Linked DNA regions of Macaca fascicularis. The protein of the gene in region 4 interacts with the protein of the main gene of each other region in a biochemical or structural test. Links are inferred from orthologs where the notes say so. Each region holds a gene or a part of one and is shown on either strand. Other genes may lie near its edges.

What was found.
Region 1: the proteins of RAB5A (region 4) and APPL1 form a complex in vitro, tested with the Homo sapiens proteins (2 studies listed by BioGRID and IntAct, with this or other methods). The link is inferred for Macaca fascicularis from reciprocal best matches to the Homo sapiens genes RAB5A and APPL1.
Region 2: the proteins of RAB5A (region 4) and CHML form a complex in vitro, tested with the Homo sapiens proteins (2 studies listed by BioGRID). The link is inferred for Macaca fascicularis from reciprocal best matches to the Homo sapiens genes RAB5A and CHML.
Region 3: the proteins of RAB5A (region 4) and OCRL form a complex in vitro, tested with the Homo sapiens proteins (2 studies listed by BioGRID and IntAct, with this or other methods). The link is inferred for Macaca fascicularis from reciprocal best matches to the Homo sapiens genes RAB5A and OCRL.

Annotation. Positions count from the first base shown.
Region 1 is NC_088376.1:120,345,831-120,350,125, reverse strand, and holds part of APPL1 (DCC-interacting protein 13-alpha), read right to left. Parts: intron 4,257-4,295; coding exon 4,162-4,256; intron 3,966-4,161; coding exon 3,783-3,965; intron 2,171-3,782; coding exon 2,118-2,170; intron 1,396-2,117; coding exon 1,221-1,395; intron 1,124-1,220; coding exon 1,087-1,123; intron 525-1,086; coding exon 378-524; intron 1-377. UniProt on the Homo sapiens protein: Multifunctional adapter protein that binds to various membrane receptors, nuclear factors and signaling proteins to regulate many processes, such as cell proliferation, immune response, endosomal trafficking and cell metabolism.
Region 2 is NC_088375.1:7,536,093-7,541,138, reverse strand, and holds the start of CHML (rab proteins geranylgeranyltransferase component A 2), read right to left. Parts: upstream 3,028-5,046; 5' UTR 2,962-3,027; coding exon of another isoform or gene 2,931-2,961; coding exon 957-2,930; 3' UTR 1-956. UniProt on the Homo sapiens protein: Substrate-binding subunit (component A) of the Rab geranylgeranyltransferase (GGTase) complex. Binds unprenylated Rab proteins and presents the substrate peptide to the catalytic component B.
Region 3 is NC_088395.1:135,829,971-135,834,265, reverse strand, and holds part of OCRL (inositol polyphosphate 5-phosphatase OCRL), read right to left. Parts: intron 4,087-4,295; coding exon 3,976-4,086; intron 3,548-3,975; coding exon 3,458-3,547; intron 2,779-3,457; coding exon 2,658-2,778; intron 2,572-2,657; coding exon 2,410-2,571; intron 674-2,409; coding exon 572-673; intron 44-571; coding exon 1-43. UniProt on the Homo sapiens protein: Catalyzes the hydrolysis of the 5-position phosphate of phosphatidylinositol 4,5-bisphosphate (PtdIns(4,5)P2) and phosphatidylinositol-3,4,5-bisphosphate (PtdIns(3,4,5)P3), with the greatest catalytic activity towards PtdIns(4,5)P2.
Region 4 is NC_088376.1:28,474,343-28,478,637, forward strand, and holds part of RAB5A (ras-related protein Rab-5A), read right to left. Parts: intron 3,210-4,295; 5' UTR 3,117-3,209; coding exon 2,954-3,116; intron 1-2,953. UniProt on the Homo sapiens protein: The small GTPases Rab are key regulators of intracellular membrane trafficking, from the formation of transport vesicles to their fusion with membranes.

The DNA.
Region 1 (4,295 bases), about 92 Mb from region 4:
GAGTGGAATGATAGATAAGAGACTTGGAAGGCTGAGTGATGAGGGAAGGGGAGGATGAAGAAAAGTGGATTAAAGGGTACAACCATAAATTATGATAGAAGGAATATATTTAATATCTGACAGCAGAGTAGGGTGACTATACTTAACAAAAATGTATTGTACTTGGGTGATGGACACCCTAAATACCCTGACTTGCTTACTGTACATTCTATACATGTAACAAAATTCACATGTACCTCATAAATTTGTATTAATTGTAAAGAATTCAATCAGTAATTACTAAGTAATTTAATTAGTAAGAATTTAATAATTATTAAATCTTAGTAAGAATCACTTAGTAAGTAGTTATGACAGAGATATTCTGCAAAGCCATGTACCTTTTCCCCCTCATTGTTTGACTCGAATATATAGCAGACTGATGACAGATTACTTTCACTTCTCCCACTTGATGTCCGAAGAACAAATCCAAAAAGGCGCTTATTTTCCTGGTGTGTAGCATACAAAACTACACAAGGTAATGGAAACTGCCACAGAAAACATCAGAAGCAAACATGAGATTTTACAAGTCATTACAGCAGCACTTGTGACAAACTCATAAGCTAAGTTCTAAAAATATAAATATTGTAATATATTAAAGCCAATTATTTTAACAGACTGGTAGTGCAGAAACAAGTAATGTCATATTTGGTTTGAATTAACAAGCAGAAAAAGAGGTTGTTGAATATTACATTTATTTTATTAGTCATTAACACATTTTACAAAGTCAAAAAGAACTGTTAAAAAATTACAAAAAGAATTGTGTTAATTCTTTTAAGTTACATAAAATGTTCAATGATAATTCTTTTAAGTTACATAAAATGTTCAATGATAACACAATGATAAGAATTGTGTTAATTATTTTAAGTTACATAAACTGTTCCATGATAACTTTTTGGAGATGGCCACAGACTTAACTATAACAGCCAAAGACCAATCATAGCTGATCCTATCACACTTGAATATACAGGATTAGGATTATTATCAAATTGTAAAATGTGTATATATACAAAGGGACCTAAAACAAAGCTTAAATCATGTGGAACTCACCGTGAGCCTTGTAACTTGTGTCTGTGGATCAATTAACCTAAAATAATAATTTAAAAATTGGAAAACAAATTTTAATTAGGCTGAAATCATGTACATGTTTTTTCTACAGCTTTTTAAGGGAGGGTTTTACTTACTTTAAACAGTCACAAGTGACTAATAAATGCGATTCTGTCATCCGAAAGATGTTATGGATGGCCCGGGCAGCTAAGATTTGGCGCATAGTTTCATAAACAACATCTGGATGGTCATCTGATTTCACCTCCATTGAACCAAGGAATCGGACAATAAATAACTGATGAAGAATAGAATCTATAACAGAACAAGGTGTATTATATATTTTTAAATGCCATATTTCTTTTCCAAAAGAATAAAATACATTGCCTCCTTTTAGATTTTCCAGTGAAAAATTCAACAACTTAAGGGATACATTTCAAAATAACTCCTAACTACAGCATTCCAAGTTACAGGAAAATTAGGGTTTAAAATTCAAATAGCTAAAAGTAATGCTTCAACAATTGGTGGTTCTGAGGCCAGGCGTGGTGGTTGACACCTGTAATCCTAGCACTTTGGGAGGCTGAGGCAGGAGGATCCCTTGAGCCCAGGAGTTCGAGACCAGCCTAGGCAACATAGGGAGACCCTGTCTCTTAACACACACACACACACACACACAACTGGTGGTTCTTACAGCATTTCTGTAAGTTTGGAATTAAAATGAATAGTTAGTGGTGGAAAAACAAAATTTATGCTCCAGTACCAGCAGTGAAACATCAGCTGTTAGGAAAAGCTTGAAAGGTATCTTAGGCACTGAGAATTTGACTATAAGGTCACAAGTGTGAGTCTATAGTTTTGTATGAATCACAACATCTTAAGTCAGATTAAGTTCTGTTGTTTCAAGTGTACTATAAGTAGAGGAAATTTTGAAGTAAAGATAACATGAAAACTGAGCTTAGCAGCAGAACAAATATAAACAATAAATTCTTCAGTTTGCTGAGAAGCAGTTCTAAAATATGAATGCTGCACATCTGTGTTACCTTCAGTTTCAGATTTTATAATTCCCCCAGATTCTCCAAATGGATTTGTACGCCTAAAAAGTTCAGAAAAAAATATGAACAAATGATCAGTTACCATGAGCCACATAGAAGAATATAATCATTAAAACCAGAGTTAACATTGTAAAAAGAAAGCTCTAAAATGCCCCATCCTGTTAAGAAACACTATTGATCACTAAATTACTATGATGAAGGCCTCTGTTGTCACACATTAACTGATCAATGTTCATGCACTTTAGAAGACACAGATGAATTGGAAGTTTAGCCATACACAACAAAAAATCAACATAATAATAAACCATGTTGCAAAGGTTCTTGAATTTAAATAAACCAGCACAGAGGAACACTGATTTAACTGCAATCTTAGCTGCTTGAGAAAAATGCTAAGAATGTCCTGGAATTGTAAAAACTTCTTTTTAGGTTTTTACTTACTTCTGTAAGTATATGTTGCAAGTTAGCTATAATCTAGTTTAAACCTGTATTTCTCAAAGCACAAGTAACAATGCAAAAAGAAAAGTGAACTGGAGATGGAAGTTACCTTCCTCCTTAGTGTGCATGGCTTGTGGCACACCACAGTGAAGGAAGAAAAGTACAACTCAAAGTAGGTTTTGAAGGGCTGGGCATTGTGGCTCACACCTGTAATCTCAGCACTTTGGGAGGCCGAGGCAGGAGGACTGCTTGAGCCCTGGAGTTTGAGATCTGCTTGGGCAACACAGGAAGACCCCCTCTCTACCAAAGAAATTTAAAAATTAGTTGGGTGTGGTGGTGCACGCCTGTGGTCCCAGGTATTCAGGAGGGTGAGGCAGGAGGATCCCTTCAGCCCAGGAGGTCAAAGCTGCAGTGAGCTATGATCATGCCACTGCACTCCAGCCTGGGCAACAGAGTGAGACCCCGTCTCAAAACAAAACAAAATAGGTTTTGGAAGCAGAGAGCTAAGTGGTTCTAAAAAAACACTGACATTAAGATAAAAGGAAATTAATATCTGTAGTATGTGTTCTATTACATCAAATGCTAAGTGTATTTCTGTGATGTGTAAATGACTTTTTGTGGGTCATAGCCATGTATATCCAAATTAATATATGATCAATTCATTAGGTGTCCATTCTACTTAATAAATGATTTGCCTTAAGTCATGTTTCCTTCAACCACAGCCAAGGAAAAATTTTAACTGCTTTGGTGAGAATATTCATTATATAAATAAAAGATGATTCATTAATAATTCATAATAGTGATAATGTTTTAGTAACTTCCTGAAGATTTCTTTTTCTGGTATAAGATAATATTTTCTAATAAACCCATATCACGTGTATTATCCTCAAGAATTTTTAAAAAATTGTCATGACCTAAAGACAGGGCTATCAACTTTCTTCTGCAATTTTAAGAGCAAATATCCAAGAAGTAGACCTAATAAGCAATACAGAATTAAATGTTTTGAAACTAAATTATCTTAACTCCTTAACTGAGGCAGAAGACATAGAGGAAAAACCTGCATGGTTCTTCCCTAACTATCAGTATGTTACGTAATTAAACAAAGAAAGTACAACACAGCTGATGTACATGATAAATAAGAGATGACTCTCAAATGTAGACAGCGGATTATAAGCCTTACAGACCACAGCACAATGTACCTGTGATGCTATCACCCACCTGCCTCCCTGGCCAAAGGCTTTTGCCTGGCCAGGCTGATCTTCACACACAGGAGAAATTATGTCAAACTGTATTGGGGTGTCTGGGGCAACAAGGGAATCTAGAGACAGGGCAGCCAAATTTGTAGACTCAGATCCTAAGGATCCTGAACTGCTGGTTCGAGCTGTCGGTGGCCGAGATTGTCTAAGCATAAAACAAGAAGGCATTCCATTTAATTTTCCCTTTTGGATATTAAATATTTAACAAACTATGAAAAAAGAAAACACAACATTATAAGTCAATGAGAAGTCTTATGTTTCAGTACAAACATAATCCCAGATCACAGATACTTTAAATAGCCCATATCCTTCTTTAAATAACTCACAGTGTGGTAACTTACCCTGCGGCTGGCCGCAGGCTCTCGTGCCTCTGCTGGAAAGATGGGGAAGGAGTGACAGCTTCCAGAGCTGACTGATTTACTCGTGCAGCAGTTTCCTATTTTAATTTTTTTTAAAAAGGACTAATATTAGTAAA
Region 2 (5,046 bases), on a different chromosome or scaffold from region 4:
TATTTATAGAGGGTTTTATAACTATCTGTAATCCCAGGTTAAAAAGGCTTCACTCTGTTTCTCCTTAGGAATTTCAGAACAGCCCTTCTGAAGTATCTTCTCCTGGGGCACTTCATTTTTCCTTTTGGTCTAAGTTACTTGTTGGAAGCTCTTTAAGTGCCAAAGCAGGGCTCTGCAGAAATTTTCTGAAGTATTAAATGAGAATAAATCTTATCCTTCAAATTTTCTTTGCAATCAACCTCCCCAAAATGAGTTTTTCAACTACTAATTGAACTCCAATTCTTTTTGTAAATTAGAACACTGTGGTGGCGTCATTGCCTCATCAGTTACAAGAGTGAAGTGGGTATTATAAACTTCAGACCTTCACAATGAATAAAGCATCATGCAAAGCTAATCTTTTAACGATTATAGACAAACGAATTTTATTATCATATTGGCATTTGTATTAGTTGCTATTCCTACCACCATGTCTAAACATTTATATTATATGCAAAAGATCCACATAATTTACCATTTGTGTGTGTTTCACTATTCGAACAGGCCGCAGCAACTATAATAGCTGTGAAAGTAATTAAAATATTACTTGGGTATTACTAATTGTTCTGTAGACAAAGATAAAATCTGAAGATCATTAGCAAATACAACATTACCTTTAAGCTGAGTTGTTAATATGGAACCCTTACATACATACCCAATACTAAAATACAGCTAACTCTGTTTTAAGATTATGGGTCATGTAGCCCATTCTAAACAAAATGTTCAATAATCAATAAATCACTCATTGATAGGTTAACAAAGATATTCAATGCTGAATGTCTGAGAGTTAAAGACAACATCTGCATAGCATTCAACATATATAACCACTTCTAATTACTCATATGGGAAACTGTCCTTTAAATGAGAATATTCTGATGCCATGAAGGAGGTCCAAAACAGCATTTCCAGATTGCTCTTTTCTAATTTTGAAGGTGCTTCTCTGGGCTTTCTTGGTTTTTGCCTTCCTCAGAGGACTCTAGTGTGGCCACTATTACATTATTGGTTCCAGAAGACTCTGGCTGCTTATCATCGCCATCAAAGATAATGTCTTCTGGATTTGGAGGTGGAGGGCAGAATTCTTCAGTTGGAAAGATCTCCTGGAAAAGTGTTTCAGCTTGCTTGACGGCATGCTCATTTCCCAGGCCACAGTCAGGCCCAGAGCAGACATAAACATTGGAAGGCAAGCCATTATATGAGCTTCTGCTGATTCCCGAGGAATCTCTCATATTAAAATAAAGAGCCCACAAGAGTCTTGGCTTTGTAAGTTCTTCCTTGTTTATTTCTGTTTCAGTATATGGAGTGAATAATTTCTTCACCACTGATTCTAAGTCTTCTCTTGCTGTTTTAGAAGATGAACATGTCAAATGTACCAGATAGGTGTCCTTCATGCATGTCATGGTTGAAGAACATAATTCAGTGACCCGTACAGCACAAGCTCCTGGCTCTGCTGGAGGAACTATCAGAATGGAAGTCTGCTGATCTGAATCTGTCTTTAGTATAGACTGATCTGTAATGAGTACTGCCCTAGAGATCTGCTTATACTGCACATTTGAGCATGTTTCCTCAGAAAGGTAACTGTCTTCCACAATAAAATATTTAGCATTTATTCTTTGACCAAAGTGATCTATAATTGCTTTACATCGTCCAGATTCTTTGTCGACTACAAAGCATTGTACTTTATGACGAAGACAATAGATTCCACCAAAAACTGCACACATCCTACAGAAACATTGGGGAATTTCTCCTTGGCCATACAAGGGAAATAAAAAGGGAGTGTTGCCAAACCGTCCGAGACACTGAAGGAAGTTTTTAATTGCGTTAAGGCCATCTATTGTAGTGCAAGATGATTCTGATGTCATTGCAATTGAGTGCAGTACAAAATGTTGAAGGTTGGGAGTTAGTTTTTTAGTTTTTAAGTATTCTGAAAATGAACACTGCCTGAAAGCTTGGTATTCATCAGGATGTTGTTCATACTCTAAACAAAATGTGAGAAATTTCATTAGCATCCTCTTTTCAACCATGGTGAGTTCCTTGCTATTGAAGACATCTGCTCTGGAACAAGGCACTTGTTCTACCTTTCCTTCCCGAAATGCAAGAATCCTAGTGACATTTTTGAATTCTACATAACGACTAACATCTGATTTGATTAAAAGATCAATTAGCAATCCTTGAGAATATAGCAGTTTTGATACCAAATCAATATTAAACCTCCTCCCTTCTTTAACTATTTGAAGGTAAGTAATCCTATTTCTAATTGGTTGATTGGCATTATCTTCTACTGTAGATTTGCTTTCATCTTTATTTCCATCTTTATCTGAAACTGTGTGCATACAAGTTTTATCTCCACAATACTTTTCCTTCTCCACTGATTCCTCTACATCAGTTACTTCTAGTGAAATCTCTCTATCACTTTTCTGAGTGTGTTTGGCAGACATTTCATCGCTATTAAAATTTGATGACTGGCTGTCTTCAGGCAAGCCTGCGGAATCCAGAACTTCAGTGAAGGTACTAGACACCCCTGAAGAAGGATTTTTCTGCAGAGCACCAACCTCTTCAACATTGTCCTCCATATCCTGACTGGCATAACAAAAAGCTTCTGTGTGTTGGATAGTTTCATCCTTCTTGCGAAGAGAGATGGCTTCTTCTGTTTCATGGATCAGGTCCTGCCATTCAACAGTACTTTCTTCCCCAATGTCATTGTTTTGCTGATGCTCCTTCAACCAGGTTAGCAATCCTGAAAAGCTGAAACTAGCCCAGTTGCCTCCATAGTAACTTCTTGAATCAATATGCAGAACTCTCTGACCAATTCTTGAACATGCAGCTGCAAGGATGGATTCGGGCAAACCTGTCCCTATTATAACCACATCGAACTCTGTGGGAAGACTGTCCGCCATTCTAGGAAGTAAAAGTGTCTGGTGACAGTTGCTGATGAAAGAAATGAGGTGTGATTATGCTGTAATAAAATCTGTCCTTCTGATGTTCCAGTTTATCCCAGAAGCAATGAAGTTGCAGGTCCTAGCTGTTTTAACAGTTACCCTTTTAAAATATATTTTTTTCCTTATAAGTCAGTAGCATAAAAACATGAGCAAGTACATCTAATCACATCTGAGAATACTAAAATGGATGTGTGGTTTCATTTCTGTATTTCATCTTAGCAGTAAATGTCAAAATGCATCATATATGCATTTGTGACTGGAACTCTTCTCTGAAAGAAGAAAATTCAAGAAAGAATACATTGTAAACAATATAAGAGAAAAATAATTTCATGCAACAATGACAATCCATTGGAGTATGACTTCTTATTTGGACATAAACCTCCACTAAAGCATGTCTTAAATGCTTTCTCACATATTTTCTAATTTCTTGAAAATGGACAATAGAGATATAACAGCCCTCCCAAGAATCAGGCAACATAGTAATAGAGAATGAACATAATGTTCCACAAAAATAAAGAAGAAATAACATAATACAATTCTCTAACTTTAGCTTTTAAGAAAACTATCATGTGAATAAATCTATACACAGCTGTGAGCTTAGACTAAAAGGAACGTATGGCTCCATTGTTTATAGAAACAGATTATACATTAGGTACATACTGCCATGATTAAAAATATTTCTGTGGCCATTACAGTGTGTGTGTGATTCCCGAATAGCTGAATATAAGACCTTTTCATGCCACAACCACCTTAGGATCTCATGATAGCAACATGAGACTATTTCTACTCAATTACTAGTAAGATTATAATAAAAGGATTAATTCAGTAAAACAACTGGCCATTTAAAAATATTTAGGCTCATAACAGAATAGGCCTGAGGAGGAAAACCTATATATTAAAAATATGTATATGAATGTACACATGTATATAAGTGTAAGTAAAAAAGGAAAAAAAGTATGTAAGTAAAAAAGGAAAACTCCTGGTTTCAAATTAAAATATCTTAACATAAATAATGCCTACTTATTTAGGCTTGTCTAAATAAGGCTTGTCTCTGCAACCCTGAATCTCTATCCCAAGCAAAAGGTCTATGTAAACATCCTCTGCCAAGACTAATGTTGTTTGTTCTTATTTTTGAAGGGTAAGTAAAGAAAAAAAAAAGGCTCTCCTGTTAACTTTGAGCATAATGCTGGTTACACTCCATGTGCAGAAGACATCTGTGTGATGCCACGTGTGGCCAGAGGCAGAACGGCCAAGGTACTGAAGAGCATACTCACCGGAAAGTCTTTAGGCTAAAGTATTACATACACCTTACTGCTAAACTTTGTAACATTCATCACTGCACTGGTTTGAGCTCTGGTTTTCGCTACTGTTAAACCTACTGAAATATAAATCAGTACAAGCTAGACCTGTCTAGGCCAAGATGACTAATAATCCTGGATATTGGTAAAACAGGCCATTCAATTGGAACTTAAATTGCGTAGGGCACAGACCTTTAGTTTAACTAAAACGGCAATCCTAACAGTCCTGTCTAGTCAAAGCCTCTGTCTCAAAAATATCAAGGATTCCACTCATTTTTGGCATTCCCTAAGAAGCCAGGAACTAAGTACAGAATGAAACAGTTGCCTGGCCCACTCAAGTATAAATTTAAGTATGTCTGAATTACTTATTCTGCTTCTTCCAGCAGGGTGTGAAGAGGGAGACTGAATCTATGATGGTATCTGAAGAGGTGTAACCATAGTATATGCTGCTTCTTGGCTTAGAAAGATAGGGCTCAGGGTAAGAGTAAGAGCAGAAGACACAGTCAATAAGCCCTAACATCAGGCACGCTCTAACCTACAGATATCAAAGAAGTCATCAAAATGCAAAGCAAGTAGGATGACCTTACAGAGCATTAAGCTGAACTACCCAATAACAGAGATGAGAGAACTGATGGCTGGAGAGATTAAGTGACTTGGGAAAGCCCACACAATACCTGAGCCGCATGATCAGGAACAGGACCCACTCTTGTGCCATCAGGCCAATGGTCTTTCCAACAGATAGGGCAAGCCTCTCCAAAAGCCTCTGCATCAAGAAA
Region 3 (4,295 bases), on a different chromosome or scaffold from region 4:
AAAGTAAAAAAAGGCTTCTGTGCTCAAGTCCAGTTCTTGGAATCTGAGGAAAAAAGCGATGTGAGATCTATACATATCCCGTAATTATCTCTGGCTACCTCCTGTCCCATATGTTGAAACAGCAAATGAAAAAAAGATGGGAGAGAGATAAATTTTATAGAACTGCTCTGTTCACCCAAGCTATAAGTAAGGACAAGTAGCTTTCTTTTCTAAACAATTCCCACAAGTACATTCATAAGCTATGCAAAAAATAAATCAAAATACCTCCCACAGAGGATAACAGTAGAGCTTTGCGCTTATATCCTAGGAACTGTCACTGTTAGAACTGACCTCAAGACTTAAGTTTCTATGCAGAATATATAGATTCCTATGGGTTTCAAGAAAGTTAGATGCTTCCTTACACCATTTTAGATATCTGTTCCTTTCTGTTCTCACAAATTTGACCCACAAGTTAACTCTCGTGTATAGTCTACAGTAGGTTTTACCAAATTCTTTTCTAAAAAAGGCAAAAACATCATGTAAACTAACACCAAACATATAGCCAAAAGGAAATTCCAGAAGTGTTCTTTACCCAATGCAGTAGATATCAGGAGGACTGGGATCACAGTTCAGCCAAGGTTCTAACCCGCTATCTGGAGACTGGCCATTCACATTCCAAGTTCCAACAAAAAACCTAATACATAATATGAAAAGATAATTTGAAAACAAAGATGAAGTATAAACCAACAGAAGGTCTTTCTTTTCACTTCTATACAAAGGTATGTTCACAATATGCTAACATAATTCCTCAAAATGTTTTGCTACATATGTAAGAAAGATCTTTTGCATCTAGAACACAAAGGCAGTGGGCTTATTTTCTCTAAATTTTACATTAAGTAAAACTACAGAGGAAACCAAGTCTCTATTTTTAAAAATGCAAAGGTAATTGCTATACCACATTTCCTTTCAATTAAGCTCCATCCAAACTCATACTTGAAAGGAGAGCTTATGGATGGGAAAGAGGTATCTTCATGCTGTAAGCTAGTCAAATATGGATAAATGTTCTATAAGGGGCTGTAGTTGACTCCAGAAATTCACTTCCTGAAGGATTACAAGGACATCTGTGTAGGAAATTCTGATGAGGCAGACATAGTATTAAGGGGGAAAGCAGAAGGGAAAACTCATGACTGTCTTAACTGTTTACACACAAATATAAGCATAGTGGGCAATATGAGGAACTGGAAGTTTTAGCACAGTGATATAGTTATGATTGAATTAGAATAAATGAGGCATGACAGGAAAGCAGATGGGACTAGAATCTTGGACTAGAAGGGTACATTCTGCTCATGAATAACAAAGAAAGGTGGTGTTGCTTCATGCATTGGTGATACATGCCACATGGTACCTCACATGCAGCATATACACACAGGTCCAGAAAAGAAGATGTCAACAAGTAAAGATGAAATAAAAAATAATACAGATGAAAGAATCCAAGATAGACCTCCCAATCAAGAGGACTGGGTGAAACTTTCTTTACCAAAGTAAGTTAAGAGCTAGTGGTAATGATGGACTTTAACTTTCTAATATTGGCTGGAAAAAAAAAAAAAACTTAGCAGGCCAGATATATAAACACGCTTGCTTATGGAATGTGCTAGGGGAAAATTCCCTAGTACACGTGACCTTGATTTGGTTCTCTAGGACTCGATAGAGACATTAGTAGACATGGCATAAATTAGTAGTTAGAAAGTCCAAGGGAAGGCCAAGCACAGTGGCTCAAGCCTATAATCCCAGCAGTTTGTGAGGCCGAGGCAGGTGGATTGCCTGAGTTCAGGAATTTGAGACTAGCCTGGGCAACACAGTGAAACCCAGTCTCTACTAAAAATAAAAATAAATAAACAAACAAATAATTTTTAAAAAAATAGCCGGGAGTGGTGGCAGGCACCTGCAGTCCCAGCTACTCAGGAGACTGAGGCAGGAGAATGGTGTGAACCTGGGAGGCGGAGCTTGCAGTGAGCTGAGAGCGTGCCACTGTACTCCAGCCTGGGTGACAGAGTGAGACTCCGTCTCAAAAAAAAAAAAATTAGCTGGATGTGGTGGTGTGCACCTGTAGTCCCACCTACTTGCAGGGCTGGGGTGGGAAGATTGCTTAGGACTAAGAGGTTGAGGCTACAGTGAGCCATGATCTTCTCTCCAGCCTGGGTGACAGAAAGACCCTGACTCATAAAAAAAGAGAAAATCCAAGGGAAACTGTAGCATCTGCATTATTTTTGATATGCATGTTATTGGCCAGCATAGAGACAGGAGCTTGAAACAGGCGACCGTTTCTTTTTATCATTGATTCTTAATTAGGCTAATGTCTTAAATATCAACAGGCCACTGTCTGTTATACCTACTAACTTTTTAGACTCAGGAAGCAAAAGAGACACTAACCTGAAAGTCTGAATGTTGACATATTCTTTCTCTCGCTTTGCCAGGATATGTTTGATGAGACCCTCCCGCTGCCCAGATTGGGTATTTGGTACAAAGAGCTTCCGCATGGTGTTGGTCACTTTGGGCTGCTCCTTATTAGAAGCTTCTTTTTCACGTGGAAGCCTAGCAAATAAACGAGAGATTCAAAAGTAAAATTGTTTAAACTATAATTCTCCTACAGGGGAAATATGTTTTCACATGGGACTTACATTTTATTCACTAAAGGGGGTGGAGGTGGGGGTTCCCGGTGAATCCCAGTAGGCTGATTTTGTGAATTTATTTTCTTGTCCAAATTCATAGAAGAAAAATTGTCTTCAAATCCGAGAAGCCCTGAAAGACACAGACCCCAAAGTCAAAGGGGGAAAAAATGTAACATCCAACATATCCAGGGTAACAGGGCTTTGATTTGATCACCATTTGATCAGTGGTATTACTAAACAGAAAGCTACCATAAGGGTAGAAATTACTTGGATTGGGGCTCGAAGAAGCATACCCATTCCTGAAGCACTGATATACTAATTAGAACAACAGTTTACAATAACTTGGAACAGACCAGTAATAGCTAACATTTATTGAAGACTTAGCACAACGCCTGGTTGACAGTAAGGGAATATATCATTATCTCATTTAATCATCACAAAAAACCCACAAAGTTAGTCCTATTAAAAATCTTCCCATATTACAGAAAAGAAAATGGAAGTTCAGAGTTGTTGAGTAACTCGATGAAGGTCGTATAACTAGTAAGTCCTTGACTTGGGATTCAAACCCAGGCTGTCTGGCTCTGGAGCTTGTACTTTCTACTATCCTGCTAAGCTGGCTCCTGAACAGCTACCATGCTACAGAAAGGATAAGGAGTGAATGCTGGTCAGTGGGTCTGGACTCGATAAAACTACTCTGCAGGAGAATGTGTCTGACATTGGCTTTAATCTACATCACCATATTTGGCCTGATAAAATCCACTGACTCTGCAATGACCATAGCAATAAGGGAACCAGGAACTTTTTAGTACCTGAAAAAACAGAAGGTTTGTCCTTAGTGTCTAATTTCTGGTACCAGCTAGATGAGTCCTTTTGCTCTGGAACAAGAAGTTGTGACTGAGCTGGAGAGATAAGGTTCACGGTCAGAAACTGGGAAGTCTTTCATTGAGTAGAATTTACCATAGCCAAAAGCCATTCTTTCAACATTCGTTAAAAGCAGGGGCCAGCACCATCTTTGGATACAGTGGAAGAAATTAAGGAAATGAGGGCAGCTCTGGGGTCATCTGCGGGCAGAAGGAGAATTATAGTCTATGGTAATCTATGCTTGCCATGACACTGAATATTCTGAAAACTGGCCTAGTGTCCTAAAAGCTAGGCAGATTTGTTCCCTAACCTATCCCTGTGTTCACTCCTGAGGAAAAAAAAAAAATCAGCTATCAGGGCTTAAAGGGTGAGGTATTTTGCCAATGGCCACTTTCCTCTGTATCAGCATGTCAGAATTCCACTCCCATTGAAATAGAAGAAAGAAAATTGCTGAGTCTTGAGTTACCTTTCTGAGCAGCAAGGACAGCTGAGAGGAACTTCAAACAGTGTTCCTCATCAGGGATTTCAAAGTGGCGCTCTCTGATCCAGTCCCCCTGAACCCGAATTTTGCAGCCACCTAAAAAGAATTGAAATCCATACATATACTGCTATGGGATAAAATGTTTTACTGGGATCATATTCTCAACTTATCAGGTTAATAGAAGGTCCAGAACACAAATATTCCAGATCTATAATATAGGAAGCACATGTACAAGATCAAGAGAGTCAGTACGACGGTGGTGGAAGGGGTGATGCAGAGAGGGAACCCTAAGGGAAGTGAGAACT
Region 4 (4,295 bases):
AAAAACCCAACAGTTGAAATGCAAAAGAGTTGGTTGGCTTCATTTTTCAGGTAACTTCTACTACCTGTCAGTCAAAACAAAAATACGTATTACCTGCAAGTTATAGACCTTTTGAGTTGATCATGAAATAGCTCAAACCTTAAAATTCTTAAATGTTTTACATCTACTCTAGCTCCTAAAGGTGAAAAGCTATGAGTACAGAGCATAAAAGAACAGTTTCCACAGCTATAATCATAATGGTACTGTCATACCTCCTGAATAGTATTCACATGGGGTCAGCACAGTGAAAAAGTACCCAATAAAGATTAACAGAAAGGCCACGGGCAGTGGCTCATGCCTGTAATCTCAGCACTTGGAGAGCCCAAGGCGGGCGGATCACTTGAGGCCAGGAGTTCAAGACCAACCTGGCCGACATGGTGAAACCCCATCTCTACTAAAAATACAAAAATTAGCCAGGAGTGGTGGCTTGCGCCTATAGTCCCAGCTACTTGGCGGGCTGAGGCATGAGAATCGCTCAATCCTGGGAAGCGGAGGTCGCAGTGAGCCAGGGCGGCACCACTGCACTCTAGCCTGGGCGACAGAGACCCTGTCTCAAAAAAAAAAAAAAAGGATTAATAGAAATTTGGATGCAAATTCATTTTTGTTTTTAAATAGGAAGCTCTACAAATAGAAATGAAAATCTTTACGAAAAATTCATTAATGAAATCAAGACAATCTAACTGGTGTTACATGGAGATTATATGGAGATACACACGTATCAGAGATATGTTTATGATACACAGGATATGGGTTACATTTTTCTTTTAAACACCCTTCTTGAGCTATCATTAGGAAAAAATAAACTTAGAAGTGGATTACCCAAAACAAGATAAAAATTCTAACCTTAAGCTCTTGCAAAGCTCCCCAGGAATTAAGTTCTATACTACAGTACTTCAGATTTTTTATTATTTTAATAAAATAATAAAGAGAGGAGAAAAGAGTAGCATATAGTAACTCCCAAACGTATTTGGCCCAGGTATTTAACCCAGAATGCATATATACTTTGGGAAATGCTGCCATTAACAGTAAAGTAAGTGGGTGTACATGATCTGGCATTCTTTAACCTTTTCCTACTGGACTAACAGTTAGCTTTAGATTAAATTGCTTCTGGAGGAAGCGAAACCTTCTAGAGAAGCAGTATTTCATTATTAAAATGGATATAGTGTATTAACAACAACAACAACAAAATCACATGTGGATGTACCTTCAAGGAAAAAAAAGATCACAAAGGATGTCTAATATATTGTGTATTAACATTTTTTAAAATGTCAAGACTTCTGACTCAAAAGCTCCATGATGCTTTCTGATGTTCAGCAATTAGAAAAAACATAAAATATTCTAATATAACATTGTAACAAGATATACAAAGGCCAGGAGGTAGTAGAGTTCTGTAACTTATCTTACTAGAATGGGTCTAAGATTATGAATAACATTCTCAAGCATATTTGCTGAAGAACACTCACTAAATGCACAGTATGAAGTTTTGCTTCTGAAAGACAGATTCCAAGAAGTTGCCACATGCCAGCTGGTATCTACCTGTCTTATTTCCACAGTTTGACTTTAATTTTACAGGATGGGGTTAAAACATATACACAAATACCTCAGAAAAGAGCATTGCTTAATTATGTATCACTTGCAAAATATCGTGAATCTCAAACTGTGTCATTCTTCCCACATTTCATCTAATTGAAAAGCATCATTTCACAGATTAAACAGCGGCCCAAAAGAGGCTCTCTTGTCCCACAGCTATATAATTATAGGTTTCTTTGATTAAAGTCAATTTTTTTTTGTTTTTTTTTTTTAAAGAGATGGGTTCTCATTGTGTTGCCCAGGCTAGACTTGAACTCCTAGGCTAAAATAATCCTGCCTCAGCCTCCAAATACCTGGGACTAAAGGAATGCAGCACCACGCCCAGCTAAAATTCAATTTTCCCACTTCATGCCCTCTCTTGACAATACCGTACTGTTCGCTGTCTCCTTTTCACCCTGCATCTTACCTTCCCCTCATCTCTGTCGCACCATGACCACCTTGTCAGTGCCTATTCTTTCCCTTCTCATTTCATCTTTTTCTTCAGGTTCCATTTTCCTGTCATGTCCCTTTCCATTAATCACTTTTTCTCTTCCCTCAGCTTAGGAGCATTCTTACATGTACATCTTAGCAGGGAGCACCTATAATCACAGCTACCTGGGAGGTTGAGAATGGAGGCTTACTTGAGGCCAGGAGTTCAAGACCAACCTGGAAACACAGCGAGACTCTGACTCTTAAAAAAAAAAAACAAACTTGCCTGGCATGGTGGCAAGCACCCTTAGGCCCAGCTACTTAGTGGGAGGCTAAGGCAGGATGATCATTTGAGCTGAGAGTTCCAGGCTGCAGTCTGCAGTGAGTTATGATCCGGACACTGCACTCCAGCCTAGGCAAGATTCCATCTCTTAAATAACAACAAAAAAAGTACATCTAGCAGTATTTAATTATATTTAATTAATTTTACAAATAAGTATAATGATTTACAAATAGTTCAGTTATATAGATCAGAATTTAAGGTTACTTTTTTTTACTATTCATTTTAAACCAATATAATTGAGCACAAACATGTACTGTATTAATTTGAAGAAGCTTCTACTTGTTAGCTAGAAATAGGTATCAGGTCAAGTCATATTACTTGAGACACTGATTCTACTCATGTTTTTATCTGTATTTTAGCGACAATATAACCACAAGGGATTAACCAAACAATCAAATGTAAAAACACATCATTTTCACAAAAATAAAGGCAAGTTTTAAAGCTTAAGGTAAGCTGAACAGCTCTTTTCTTCACTCTATGACTTAGCTATTCATAATCACACAATTGGAACATCAAAATACTTTGTCAACGTATGATTCGATTAAATGAAGCAGGGAAAAAAGAAAATCTCACCCCCAATGGTACTCTCTTGAAATTCATGAAATTGGCCTTTCACAAAACGAAGCACTAGGCTTGATTTGCCAACAGCAGACTCTCCCAGAAGTACTAGTTTGAACTGGCATATTTTATTTCCAGTATTTGGCCCGTTGGGTCTTGTTGCGCCTCGATTAGCCATGTCCAAATTTGAAATAAGTCCTTAATTTCAGATTCTTCAATGAACTTCCAGAATTCAAGGGGTAAATATTCTTCTTTCTGGAGGTAAAGAAACCTGTAAAGAAACAATTATGAATTAAATATACAAATCAGTAAAGCAAATTTACTATTAATCACTTTAAATTTTGCCTATAGCACGATTATCTTAAGCTCTACTAGACCTTCAATGTCACTATCTTTTAAAGGAAATTTAAAAGTATAGGATTTGAGCCCAAAATCATTTTTTCTTTTTTTTTTTTAAAGGCTAACCTCAAAGCTTCAACTTTGTGCCAGGCAGTACTTTAAGTACTTAACTTCTCAACAATCCTATAAAATGAGATATTATTACAATCCTTATAAATGAGGAAACAAGCACAGAGATGTTAAGAAGCTTAATTGAGGTCACATAGTTACTGTCACAGAAGTGACACACAGCTGAGTTTCAAACCCAGGCAACCTGAGAGATGACTTGAGTTCAAGTTTTGTAGCCAGGCTACTTGGGTTAACATTGTTTTGAGAAAAATTATGTTATTAATATATGGGAAGCTTTTAGAACAGATCCTAGAGTTTAGTATTATTTGAAGTCTTCTGTTAAACGATGCATTTTTCATTTAATTAACGGTAATTTTGGACAACAAATATTTTCAGTATCCCAGGTTTGTGTGCCTAATGGCAGACAGACTTAAAACTGTTTCTTCATCTGCTCAAGTATACCATACACAGAAATGCTAACAGTTGTTCTCTATGTGGTGGGATTATTACTGACTTATTTACTTACACTAATTGTAACTTTTTTGTAGTTTTTAGAAGAAAAAATGCATGACTTTTTTTTTTATTATGAATTTTTTTGAGAAAGGGTTTTGCTCTCTCACCCAGGCTGGAGTGCAGTGGCATGGTCATAGCTCACTGTAACCTACACCTCCTGGGCTCAAGCAATCCTGCCACAACCTCCTGAGTAGCTGGGACTACAGGCGCTCAGAACCATGCCAGGCCACTTTTTTGGTAGAGACACTGTCCTGCTATGTTGCCCAGCATGATCTTGAATTCCCGGGCTCAAGCAATCCTCCTGCCTCAGCCTCGCAAAGGGCTGGGATTACAGGTGTGAGCCACCACACCCAGCCTGCAGGCCATTATTTTTTATTTAAACAACACATTAAAAAAT